Linked DNA regions of Coturnix japonica. The protein of the gene in region 2 binds, or shares a complex with, the protein of the main gene of each other region. Links are inferred from orthologs where the notes say so. Each region holds a gene or a part of one and is shown on either strand. Other genes may lie near its edges.

Region 1 (6,488 bases), on a different chromosome or scaffold from region 2:
ATTCTGCCTATCCTGCTGCATGACATTTTCAGGGCTCCAGCTCATTAGGTTTCCACTGTAGAATCTTTTAGCTGGTTGTTTTCAAGATTAGAGAAGTTAATAAATAGATGAATGACTGTCTCTAGCACTTGTGGACAAATGGTTTGTTTAGGTTTAGCCAGAACATGGAAAGCTCAAGAGATGCATCTGACATTTCTGGGTAGGGCAGCTTAAAAAAAGGACAATGTAGAAGGGGAACAGAAAAAGTAGAAAAAAGAAGGAAGTTAATCATCCATTGGTAAAGAGATTATATCAGTGAGCAATAGTGCAAGTAGTTCTTGGTCTAGTCTTTCTAAACAAGGAAGAAGACAAGCATTTCTAGAACAATTCCACCTCATTCCACCGCATTATCTTTATAAACTTCAGTGGAGTTCAAACAAATCACACCTGGATAATTCTTTTTACTTTCCTTCATCTGTAAAGGGAGACAAGTGTATCTCTGGGAGAAGGTCATCGATAGTCAGTGAGATGAATTCCCTAATTTGTGTTTAGCTTTGCTCTCTTTGCTGTCAGCTGTTGCAAGTTTGAATGATAAAGTATGTCAGCCAAGAACTCATGACAATATAATTTCTTATGTCACTAGTAAGAAAATAAATATACTTTTCAATATAGTATAAGTTTAATTCCCTAAATGGATGGTTGCTTTTGTCTTGAAATCTCTCTGGATCACAGTCAACAAGGCATAGTTTAATACTGCTTTAATGCTAATTCATTACAGTACCTGATGTAAGACATTGCAACTACAACTGGATTAGTTTTGATTTCTCTTTGAGTAACTGAGGAAGCTACACAGGCAGAAATATTTTCCTGTCAGTGTTTATAGCACATCACAATACCCAGTCATGAGGAGTCTTTAAGATGCCTCCTTAGCACACTTTTTTCTTTCACTATTTGGACACTTTTTGACCTCTTTAACCTTCATGCAGCCACTTATGATCCTGGGTGTACCAGAGCAACTCGTCTGTCTTTGCCCAGGGGATGCTGCTGAAGGAACTGATAATGACACCAAGCTCTCTTCTGAACACTCCCAAATCCATGGTGCTGCTGAGCACTCCTTTGTCTTAGCACTACGGGTCAGTGAGTTTTCATGTAGTTCCTGCTACTTGTCCATTTATCTCTGTCTCATCTGACTCGGGAGGACAGTCTGAAACTTTCTGCCAGTGGCCATTCAAGATAGGACCTTACCTAAGGAGAACTACTCAGGCAGAATGAGTGAACCACACCAAAGATTCTCAGAAGTGCTATTTTTCCAGCATCTCCCCACGAGAAAAGCTGATCCACACACTCTCCACAAAACCCTGTCCTGTGGTAAGCTGAAACTTCAGATTTAATGAAGAATCCTGTCCCCAGAATGAGTTTGCATCCTTTCTGGATACAAGAATACAGCCACTCAGCCCAGCAGCCCCCCAGGCATGATACGTCACCTCCCTTGCTTTTCAGTAAAAGAGAAAAGCTCTATGAGACGGCAGTATTTGAAAACCAATATCTCTTTATTATAATAAATTAAAAAATAAGCATTTATGAAACAATCCATCTGCATATAAATATTACACAGCAGTTTTAATTTTACAGTTCATTCTGAAGCTTCTGGTCTCCATAAATACATCCCTGTGGCTATGTTTTAATTAATCTGTATAAATACAAGTACAGTATAATTACTACAAAATTATTACCTTAAAATAAGTTACCATTAAATATGAGCAACAAAACTAATTTCTGAATGTCTAAAGTTCCAGCTTTTCAGGTAAAGGTCAGAAGAGGGCAACATACACAAGAGAGATTTTGAAGTCAAAGGCTGAAAACTCCCTGGCTACAGAGCACTGCCTACCTTGGCCAAAGCTGACTCAGAGGTGTCAAATCTCAGCCTATGAAATACAGAAAGAGTTGTCTTATTCCAGAGCGGATGAGCAGGATAGGAGCATGCCTTTGAAAACAACCAGTGTGCAACAGTGAAGTGGAGCCACAAACGCTGTTCTGCCGACTTCATTTTCCAGGCAGGCAGCAATATGCTTCCATCTGTGCCCACCTGATTTGCTATTTCTGGTACAGACTGAAAAGTGTGCTGCAGCTACCGGCAGGATTTTTTGCACAGTAGTTAATCAATGTAGTAAGAGCTCTGGGAGATATTCCATCAAGACTAATCTGACTGGTTTTTCTTTTCAGTTTTTCTTCTTGTTCCCTCCCTTCTTTGGGGCATCAGTACAAGCATTTTCTATGTAGTCAAACAGTAAATCCAGTTCTCCGATGGCTTTGTTCTTTCCATTCTCTCCCAACTAGAAAAGAGCAGAACACTGGTCTTAACATCCCTCCATTTCTCAGAAGACTTAAATTAGGCTTGTCACAGAAACTGCACTGAGAACTTACTCTCCTCTTTCTCACAAGTAGTTCTGTTAAAGTCAATATATCATCAAATATAAACTAGCTCATTCAAATCCAGTCTAGTATACGCAGTAGCTCGCAGCTCAATTTCTAAGGGCTAGTTACTATAAGATATGCAGAGAGTTAACAGTACACATGAAGGAACTCTGGAAGTGGAAACACCACTCGTCTCCTCTTTAATGCCCCTGCAAACTTCACCTTTTATATAAATTCCAGAGCTCGCTTCATGACTCTGTCAGCTTTACTTTAGTTAAACAACTGGAGTTTTGAACGGCACTTCTTAAAAACAGAGAAAGAATATACCTCTTTCATTTTGCTCTTCATCTCTTCCAGGTTCTTTTCAATATGTTCTCTGTTTCCTGAGTGTTTCTAAAGAAAGAAAATATCCAGAGGTAACATTGACAGATGCATGTGACAATATGCTGCTTTTCTTTTTGTTTTCTTTTTTTTTTTTTTTCCCCTTTTTCACACGTTTCTATCAACCTCCAGTTTGATATCTTAGATCTGAGGTTTCCTTTCATATCACTGTCTCTTGCCACTATTTGCAGATTTCTGAGATTCAGGAGCAGTGACAAGAATCACAGCCAAGGGAAAGAAAATCAACACTACTTACACATCTGCTCAGCTCCGAGATCAGGGATGCCAGGAACTGTGCCACATCCTCAGCATATGGGTACCGCTCCTTGGCCTCTGTGAGGACGTCCTTCACTATAATCTCTGCAATCCTCTTCATCACGTAGCAGCGGTTGTTCTCCTATGTGTTTAAATAAGAGGTCATGTTAAATTGTGGGAAGAGGCCAACAAGTGCTGCAGAACAACATGGGGATCTGTCTTTAGCTGGAAGACTCACCCTGATGTTGACATAGATTTTCTGACCGATGAGTCTATTGTCAGTGTCCTGATCTGAGACCCTGGCCTGAGGGGGAAAAAAGGAAATGTCAGGTGAGGATGGGAGACTTACCTAAAAATTAACAGTGAACCCTGAGGTTTCACCAATAACAGTTCCAGTGACAAAAAGAAATGGACACTGTAAGCAGGTAGGTAAGGTACAGGAAGGTAAGCTTGGAAAATTCAGCTGTTTCTTTCCACAACTGCATAAGAATCAAGGTCACAGGAAAGTAAATATGCAGAAATCTGAATTCCTGTCCCTCTTGTAAACATCGGAGGTCGTAGTGGTTATGATGACTAAACCAGAACCTGCGGGTAGCCATCCTCAGCATCTCCCACAGTGCTGCATCATCTCCCACAGCGCTGCATTGCAGCCCTCGATGCAGTATGTGGGGGGAGATCCACACATGATAGAGATGGTCAAGAAACCTGTCCAGGCACAGAGCTGAAAAGCCAACATGCCCAGCTCTGAGAACAAGAGTAATTTAAGATCATATCTCACAATTGTCCCTGTGTAGCAGCAGCCGCTCCAGAGGAGCTGAGCAGCTTCCCTTGGCCACAGCACCAGTGGGCAATGGGACTATTCCACACATCAACCTCTGTCCCACTGCAAATGTTTTTGTTTTCTGTATGAGTGCAGAAGAAAGAGAGATAAATGATGAAGGCAAGAAACCAGGGCACTGGCAGGGAAGGAGGTCCTCACATCTTGCCATGAAGGGAAAGTGAGTTATCATACCATTTCAGCCAAGGTGTAGGTGCGATTCCTGATGTAGGGCTGCTGGAAGTTGGTTTTCCTTAGCCTGCAGGCTTGATGGGCATTGGAAACCATCCCTATCCCTTTTGGAGGCAGAGGGCTGGTGAGAAGAAGGGGGAAACAGCAACAGCAGCAGAAGACGACCCATCCCGAGAAACTCCTGGTCAGGGTGTGCAGGGTGGCCATGGCTCACGTCCGTCCCAAGGGCTGTAGTTACAGCACTCAGCACTGATGAGAGAAAGCAGTGTTAGCAGTGGGGAGAGTGAGCAAGGGCAAAGGGAGAGAGGCAGAACGGCTGCAAGCCTTACCTTTGCTGTGATTCTCAATGTGCTGTGAAGGAGGTGAGGTGTGCCTTATATAGGGACATCAACATCCCTCTCAGCTTTTTTTGGGGGGAGTATTGGTGGTGAATTAAAAATGACATCAGCAAGTCTCTTACTTTCCTGTATCTTCTTCTGAGAACTTCCTAACCACTACAAAACCCACAAATACAACTTCAAGGCAATTGTAACCTTCAGGTTCTTATAAAGTAAACCAATTTTTAATGCAGGGACAAAGCGGGGGCTTTTACTGGGACTGTGATCCTGAATCCTTTTCTCATAAAAACATCTAAGAAGTTCATAGATTTGTGCCTTCTGTCCCAATTGTGCCATACTAACTGCATTGGTAATTTGATGGCAAATAACATCATATGTATTAATTTATATTCGTCTTCTGTTGTATAAGACTAGTGACCCACTGGAGATGATGAAGGTACACAGATGGTCAGAGATTGCTCCAGACCTAGACCACTCTGACCAGCTCTGGTTCTCACCTCAAAAAATCCCTTCCCACACTGGGCTGCACTGGAGCCATGGGCTATCTGCCCATCAGTGTTCATTTCTCTCTGGGACATCAGAAACTGTATAGGACCAACAATGAATTTCTCACATCCCTCATCCTCACACTCCCATTTTCCAAACAATGATCCATATTTTAGGCTGTAACCAGGGGTAATAGCCAGAGCCGAGGCCACACACTTACATTTTATCTTCTTCTGACACATTCACATCCTTCAATTCTCCATGTTTCTGTCACCCCAATTGCCTCCTATCTCATCTCTGTGTGGCTCTGAAGCCTCTGGAGCTGCACCTACTCACCCTGAAGCCACTTCCAGCAGAGCCACCATCACCACGACCCTTTCCATGACTCACATGTATGCCACCCATTCTCATGCCTGGCCTTCAACAGCAAGCCTGGGTTCAGGATGCTGACCACACAGTTCATATCCCAAATGTACCACAAGACTATTCAAGAACATGTTTATAAACTCTTTTCTGTGAATTTATTTGCCAGGTGAATAAGAAGATGGGAGGGTGCATTACAGGTAGACAAAAACAGGCAGTGAAGAACAAACTGGGAGAAATACAGGCAGAGTCTGTTTCAAAGTGTTGGCCTTCTCTGAAGTGCACTCCCATGAATTCCTCTTCAAGGGCTAACAGCCTGATAACCACCACCTGCTTTGAATTTTAAGCTAGGTTTCTCTTACTTCTCTACCAGCTCATCCAGCAGTTTAGATGTCCCAAGCCCAGAACAAAAGCCGTGAACAGGTATTCTGACCCTTTCCAAGGGGAGCAATAGCCCCTGTCTTGCCCCAGATCCTGTCCTCCTGAGCTTCTAGACCCCACCTCCCATCACACACTCTCACTTGACTCAGTTCCAGTTTTGCCTGACCTCTTCTCATAACATGGAAAGTGTTTGTGGCCTGTGTATGCACACGCTGCCCAAATTGTGGTGAGGAGACCACATGGTCTCAGGATTCCCATACTGATGGATATCTAAATATCATCAGGCATATGGATGAGGAATTAGATGCTGAATCTTCCTCCTGCCCTCTTTTATGCAGTGATTACAGGATCTCTTCTATCTGGCTTCTCTAGTATTTGCGAATCATAGACTTGGATGTATATATTTTCATAGGAAGCGTTAAGTCATACTTCATGAGCCTCTCTCCCATTTATGCTGTCAGAAATCTCTTTCAGCTGTGCGTCATTGGCTGTGCCATGCTGTCTTCCTTCCGAGGCTTGCAAAATGTCCTTATTTCATTTGTTTGCTTTATCTCTGCTGCTCATACTTTTATTTTCCAGGCATCAAAAGGACAATTTTCAGTTTTAATTAATTCTTACTTCACGAATTTCCTTTTTATGATGTTTGTAAAGCCTTTGCATTACTTAATCTTTTGCTGGCCATTGTGAGTTATAACAACATTGTCTCCCTTTTTTAGCTTGCTGTGAATACAGCCAAGTCCAAAAATGAAAGTTCAGAGTCTTTCTGGACACAAAGTTTAGCAGTTCAACATGTTCTTCTTGCACATCAGTCCACACCTGGCCATTTCCTGACTACTTTTTACCAAGAGACTGCTGGTTCTTGATGTACCCCTGAGTTACGG
Region 2 (6,639 bases):
TTTGATCACCTTGTCTTTTCCTTCATACACCAGCACTCTGTGTTGCTTCAGACAGAGGGAGGAGAAACAGCTGGTCATGCATGTTGCCCTGGCAAGTGTGTCTATGACTAAGCTGGGAAGGATGGAGAGTTCAGAGCAACACATGCATTTGCATTAAGTCAACAACATTAGCTAGCATTAGTTATTTATGTGCCAGTTTTGGTGTTGTTTTCTTTTCTTTCTTGAGAAAAAAAAAGCCACCCCAAATTGCCGTAATTTCCCAACTGTTTCAACTAGGGCTTAGATTCTGAAATAGTACACCAATGGGAACAAAGAAAGTGGGGATGAATTACAGCCCAGTTCAATCAAATTCAATTCCTGAAAAATAAGCTTGCTTTGTGTTTAGATACTTACACGGGCATTTACACTCTTGCAATCCTAGAGGGCTGCTTCAGCTGTAAAAGGGAAGAGTGTGCCCATACTCTCTTGGCTTTCCAATGGTAAAGAGTTTATATCTGAATATGCACTTACCTCATCTAGCAAGTTGTTAATTATGAAAACTTGGTACTGAAGATCATAATAATTTGTCATTGGTATCGTGCTGCCTCTCTTCCTTCTATAAGCCGATCGTGGAGCCTGGAGCTTTATTTTTATGAATTTGTTGCTGTGAACCACCTTTATTGTTGGAGGTCCTATCATAGCTAGGGGTATAAACAAAGCTGTGAGCATGATTATAGCACGCTTATTAATAACGATGCACAGAACAGAATGCTTTGGATTTTTTGCCTTTGATTCTTTTTCTTCATTTTTTTTTTTTCTGCTGTCTTGAGCTGCAGAAATGTTTGAACCATTTCAGGTCAAGGACACAGCTTCAGTCATTCTTCTCAGAACTTGTGCAACCTGCTTGGTTAAACACAGCTGGGGTTTCACATGGTTCCTGTGTACCCCTGAAGGCAGCGGCTACCCCACATCTTCTTAGGAGGATGTGGTGCAGGGTAAGGTGAGCTGCTGCTGCAGCAAGATGCAGCTCTAGCTCAAAGCGTGCAGTCTTGCCTACACAGGACAAGTTATTTTGCACTTCAGAGCCATAGAGTGACCTGTGTTAGTATCTACACTTCAGTTTTACATTGATCAGAGGGGAAAAAAATGGATAATATATGGAAGTTTAGTGGTAGGTACACTGACACTGCTCGCTGTTCTAACAGTCCTGCAGTCCTGTGCACTATGGTCTTACAGTGGCTGTACTAACTAAAAGCTCTGTGCATGTCCTTTCTAAATACACCACTGTCAGGAAAATACATGTGAGAAAAACGCATGCATGTGAGAAAGCTGTAGGCTATGCAGCTGCCTTTTCTCTCCTCCCCTTTCCCTCTAGCAGAGAACATTTCCCTCTTCACACTGTGCTCAATCCTTCCAACAGCCCCTGAAACTGCTGTGAATATTTTACGGAGTTCCATGCCTTGAGGGAGAGGTTGAGTGGAAGGGAGCCAGGCATTTCTGGTCCCCTAATTGTACACAAGGATTGGTTCAAGTGTGGGAAAAGTTATTTTATCACAACACTTCCCCCGAGAGTTGTGGACACACGACTTCTTTCAGTACAGTTTTCTAGCTAGAAGGGTATCACTTTTGACAGCAGATTGGGAGCAAAAATGCTGTGCTCCACACTGCAGAAAACCCAGCCCCATGATCAGAGAGCACATGTGTTTGCACTTACTTTCTCGCCAGGGAGTGAATCTGCAGCTGAGGCTCCAGTCGGATTGCACACCATCCAAAGCAGCTTGTACCCTCCCATAGTAGGGCTCATAGGCATCAGAAGTCTCCTCCGTCAGGTCACAAAAATGGCTCTGAATCCCCCAGCACTCCTCTTTGTTTTGCCACTTGCTTTGCCCATACCTGTGAGGAAAGGAGGAGCAATTCAAGCCCCAGCTACTGCCAACCAGATCTATACAGACTTGTAACAGTCTGTTCCCCAAAGGAACCTAAGGCTCTTATCCTGTGAGGTGCTGGACCAGATGTGATGGGGACAGGAGCAGGCCTCCCTTATAGAGTAGGCCCCTCTGAGGAACAGGTCCCAGCACCACACCGTGTGGCACAGCAGTCCACTGAAGCCCTGACTGTGCTCCCACAAGGCTGACACTAAGGTGCCATGACGGTGTATGTCACGTTGCTAGGCACGCCTGACCTCCATGTCCTTCAGGCTGCTCAGCTGCACTTTACAGGCTTGTGATAAGTGCAGGGAGCTGGCAGCAGTGAAGGACAAGGCTGTGCCCCAGGTATCCTTTGGCAACTGAGAGATCCCTTTGGCTTGCCAAGCAGGGATGGGCTGCTGGATGAGGCATGCTGGACTTCCCCTGGCACTTACACTTTATACTGCACAAAGTAGAGCGTGGTTTCTCCCTCTCCAGCTCTCCCAGGCTGCCAGCGCAGGGTGTTGTTGAAGTTCAGTGAGTAAAACCATACCTCCCGTGGCTTGATTGCATCTCGCAGGTCTTGATTTTCCAGGACTAAAGTGGCTGCAAATAGTAAGAAACAGTGACAGCACACATTTCCCTCAGTCAGGCACCTCTGCATCCAGGCACACACTGCTCGTGTGGTTTCAGGCTAGCAGCCGGCGGGGAAGTTAAATCTGGGTCTCATGTTCCAAACTTTCCGTGTTGCAGTGAACAGATGTAGAAGTTACAGACCACAGCCAGGATTGTGAAAGGAACAAATGGTGTTGTTTTTTTCTTCTTCTTTTTCATCATTGAATTTACTGCCATGAAGGATGCCCAGTGGACAACCCAGTGGACAAACCCTTCTGATCAGCTCCCAGAGCATGCAGTACACAGCTGCGCCAGTAGTTAAAGGTAGGTGCTCTGTCCTTCCTATCTCAGACTTAGACTGCAGGGACTATAGTTTAACTATGGTATATAGTATATGGTCACTATGTTTTAGTGGTTACCATAGCTGCGTTTGTTGGTTCTTGCCTAATAAAATAGTATGACATTCGCTGCTTTTCCCATCTGAACTGACTGAAAAAGCTGTCTGACAGTTTTCAAGATAAGCTGCTTCCAAACTGAGACAGATCCAGGTGACAGAATCAGTTAACATGCACTGAAGCATCGAAATCCTAACAGACTTCTGGATTTCATGACCCAGCTGACTTCATATACCTGCAGTTTTATCTGTGGTATATCTCACAACCAGAGATTCCTGCAAACTGAGCTGAAGCCGGTAACAGAACTGTAAGTAAATGCGATGAACGTTACACTCATTTTAGCTGCATTTTGAAAAACAAAATGAAACTAATTTGGAAATGACAGGACTTATGAAACCAGCCTCTGTATCCAGAGTTTTCCTGATTTGCCCAGCTTTGAGAGCAGACCCAGCACACACCACCACCCCTACACCCTCCAGGTGGGAAGAGAATTGAAAGCCTTTACTTACTGCTTATCTTGTCCTGCAGCAGGTGCATCAGAAAGCAGAGGGAGGAAAGCCTGATCCCCCTCATGCTTAGGAGAGCAGCTCCATGACTGAGAGCATCTCTTTTCCTCTTGGGCATGTCTTATGAGGAAGTAATTATTAAAGTGACTTCCCTATTTATAAATTCCCTGTTGTGGCTAGGTGGGAAATATATTAGTTGTTCTAAATTAAACGTAAGCAATCGCTCTTACTTGGAAGCTTCACTCACTCTGAAGTTTGGAACTAATTATGAAACAAACCAATGAGAAAAATGTGCTTTTTTCAGGGACTAATTCCCAAATGTCTGGCAATATTGCTTTATCCCAAAAATATGTCACACAAACTTGCCTCTTTGCTCTGCTATGATATTGTTTTTCAGCTTGCCAGTCACTCAGTGCCGCAGAACACAAAATCTTGCTGCAATAGCACAAAACAGTAATGGGATGTAATCTGGGTGGCCTGTCTTGGGGTTGAACACAACAATGAAGGCTGTCGAAACATTCAGTGGAGGATGCCATGTAGGAACATGTCATCAGGGGGACATGGGGACATGAAACTGCTGCACTTATTGCTGGGTGGTTGGAGGCTGCAGCTGGCTGAGCTCAGCCCACTGGTCAAAGTGCCACTGCCTATCTGACACTGTATGCACCAAAGCAACTCTGAATGCTGTACCACTGGTATGTGCATCCCATGGTCCCAAAACGGGCTGCTGGGCTTGCGATAAAGTGATCTCACTCTGTGCTGGTAGATGTTTTATTGCTGTGTGTGCCAGCCTGCAGGGGGCCAGTTGTTGCCCGGTGGGTGGTATGGAGAGCTTGGTCATGCTGAGTGCTGGCACACTGGGTATCCCAGCATGAGCCGGGTGCCCTCATCTCCTGCACGCCCACATCAGTGGGCAAGAAGAGACAACCCAACTGTGCACAGTGTGGAGCAGCACACAATAGTAATGCCCACCGATAAATAACCAGTGTGGAAACTGCTTGGTTGCAGGAAAAGGGCATCTCTGTCTGCAGAAACAAAAACTTACCTAATCCCTCATCTTGGCTTTGGGAAAAAGGCAGAAGCAAATGTTGCCAGAATGAAATAAAAAGTGTAAGTTATTGTGCAAACTAAGGTGTTTTTTTCATCAAAAGGCATTCGGTTGCGGTAGGCAAATTAAATACAACCTAATCAAGAATCTGGCCTTGGTGACATCAACTGAGCACATGCACATTATAGTGCGAGCACTGAATTTGCAGCGGGCACATTAAAACTGCAGGTGTGTAACTGTGAATGGCTACTTACCACAGTATGGGATTAGCTGGGAAGGAATGCAGAAGAAAATCAAGGTAGAAGGTAGAGAGGCAATTTTGGCATTGCCTTCTGGGATTTTTTTATCTCCATTTCCCAAACACATTTTCAAAATTCAATGACTTTAAGAATTTCCCCTCCACACACACAATGAGTATTTCATCACGTTATACGAGCTCAAGTGCGGGAATAGGGGATTTTTATGAACTGATCACTGAGCTGAAATGCCATCAAATTTTAGTCACGCCTGTCACAGGTTGTGGTTGTGTATTTACTTACTTGAATTGTATCAACACACCTTATCGGGACCCAAGTGCGGAGCTTTGCTGGAATCATTGCCGGCACCAGGTTCTCCCACGACAGCAAAACCTCCCAGAGCTGGGATTGGGTGGCTGCATGACTGGGGCCAGGAAGGCTGCCCCTTTGCTTCTCCCTTCCAAATACTTGCAAATTGCTGTGGCTAAATGGGGAAAGAAACACCTGGATCGTGGAAAAGATCAGGGCTTCTCACACAGCACCAATAGTGCTTGTTCTGTAATTGGGCCTGGCAATGTGATGCAATCTCTTCACATAATTTCACCATTTTTGAAACACCCGCTGATAATCCCCATGTTTTTAGCATCTGTAACATTTTCTTTCTCATTATCTTCAATCATGTCTCCCCAGTGCTCTTTGCAACAAAAGCAATTACATTCTGGTGAGTGGCAGCTGCACACACCCATATAGACGTACTTGTCTTGAGTGCAATGCATCTATAGCACTTTTAAATAAATGGGAACACTTAAGAAACAGTATTGCTTAAGAATACTTCTAATGGAACTCACGAAGAAATGGAAAACGAAAGCGTTCCTTTCCCCAGCAGCATCCATGTTAGTGCTTACTTACACTGTAGCATTTGCTTTGACCCAAGCCTTTGTGACAGGGCAGTCCTGATGCTTCTGTGAACAGACAGAGCTGAGAGCACAAGAATTTTTTCATTCCTGGAATAAAAAGCTCTCTAAATACTGGGCAAATTAAGTTCTTCCTCTTAAAGTCTGGCTATTGCCACACAGAGGTGAAAGCTGAGTACCTTCTTGCTGGAAGCTGCCTGACTCATCCCGTCTGATAGCACCACCTTATTGCTTTATTTTATCTGGAGCAAGATGTTCCTGACCACAAGAGGAGAAAATGTGACCCCAGAAGGGCTCCTCCCACAACCATCTCTACTGTTGGGTACAAGTCTGCATGCGGGTTTCATGGACTCAGACCCATGGGACAACCTCTCTTGGCTGGGGTCTCTGGAGCTCAGCTTGTCCAATCTGATGCTTCAAGCTGGGTTGATAGCACATATAACCATTGGGAGCCCTTTCCTCACACATCTAATCGGAATTCCCCTGCTGCAACCCATGACAGTGGCTTTTTGTGTTCGGGTTGCAGGTCTCTTAGCAGAACCTGCCCATATTTTCTGTAAGTGCCCCATTCATCCAGCTGGAAACAGCGCTGAGATCCCCCCAATCCACCTCCCTGCCTCTTCTGACACATATACAGCAGCCCTTCATTGCCTTAATGGAGACTTTGAACATGAATCATAAGAAACAAACAACAACAACAAAGAACCATCCAAGCAAAAAAAAACCCACACTAACCACCCACAGCCAAGCAACGGGGACTTTTATTTCTCAGCCCTTCGGGGAAGAGGCATTACATCACAAGAGCTATTACAGAAAAGTTTCTAAGGAAGTGAGACTGACTTTCTCTGTACACTGTGGGTATTCATTGCTTCCTGCCCACAGGTGTGAACTGTTCACCTCTCGCTGTCAGTGGGCTTGGCTCAACGTTTGGGAGATTACAGTATAAAATGCCAAGCGTCATTTCTGCACCTTCACAGTAAGAAATGTGAACATGCTGAAGGCTCCCTCTGTAGCAAGTCCTTATTTGCACTTAAATATT

Evidence for each region.
Region 1: the proteins of IL22RA2 (region 2) and IL22 are in contact, whole or in part, in a crystal structure (PDB 3G9V), measured with the Homo sapiens proteins. The link is inferred for Coturnix japonica from reciprocal best matches to the Homo sapiens genes IL22RA2 and IL22. Residues at the interface, in NP_443194.1 of Homo sapiens: Lys65, Ile66, Tyr99, Gly100, Gln101, Arg102, Trp104, Gln128, Glu129, Pro130, Tyr132, Met148, Pro150, Arg151, Thr153, Trp155, Trp156, Glu157, Glu200, Pro246, Met247, Leu248, Asp249, Arg250; in NP_065386.1 of Homo sapiens: Phe47, Gln48, Pro50, Thr53, Asn54, Phe57, Met58, Lys61, Ser64, Leu65, Asp67, Asn69, Thr70, Asp71, Val72, Arg73, Leu74, Lys162, Gly165, Glu166, Asp168, Leu169, Met172, Arg175, Asn176.

The regions. Positions count from the first base shown.
Region 1 is NC_029516.1:31,853,567-31,860,054, forward strand, and holds IL22 (interleukin-22), read right to left. Parts: upstream 4,285-6,488; 5' UTR 4,247-4,284; coding exon 4,043-4,246; intron 3,335-4,042; coding exon 3,269-3,334; intron 3,173-3,268; coding exon 3,032-3,172; intron 2,788-3,031; coding exon 2,722-2,787; intron 2,313-2,721; coding exon 2,199-2,312; 3' UTR 1,532-2,198; downstream 1-1,531. UniProt on the Homo sapiens protein: Cytokine that plays a critical role in modulating tissue responses during inflammation. Plays an essential role in the regeneration of epithelial cells to maintain barrier function after injury and for the prevention of further tissue damage.
Region 2 is NC_029518.1:49,589,098-49,595,736, reverse strand, and holds the start of IL22RA2 (interleukin-22 receptor subunit alpha-2), read right to left. Parts: upstream 3,744-6,639; 5' UTR 3,521-3,743; coding exon 3,406-3,520; intron 2,493-3,405; coding exon 2,342-2,492; intron 1,873-2,341; coding exon 1,694-1,872; intron 681-1,693; coding exon 511-680; intron 46-510; coding exon 1-45. UniProt on the Homo sapiens protein: Isoform 2 is a receptor for IL22. Binds to IL22, prevents interaction with the functional IL-22R complex and blocks the activity of IL22 (in vitro). May play an important role as an IL22 antagonist in the regulation of inflammatory responses.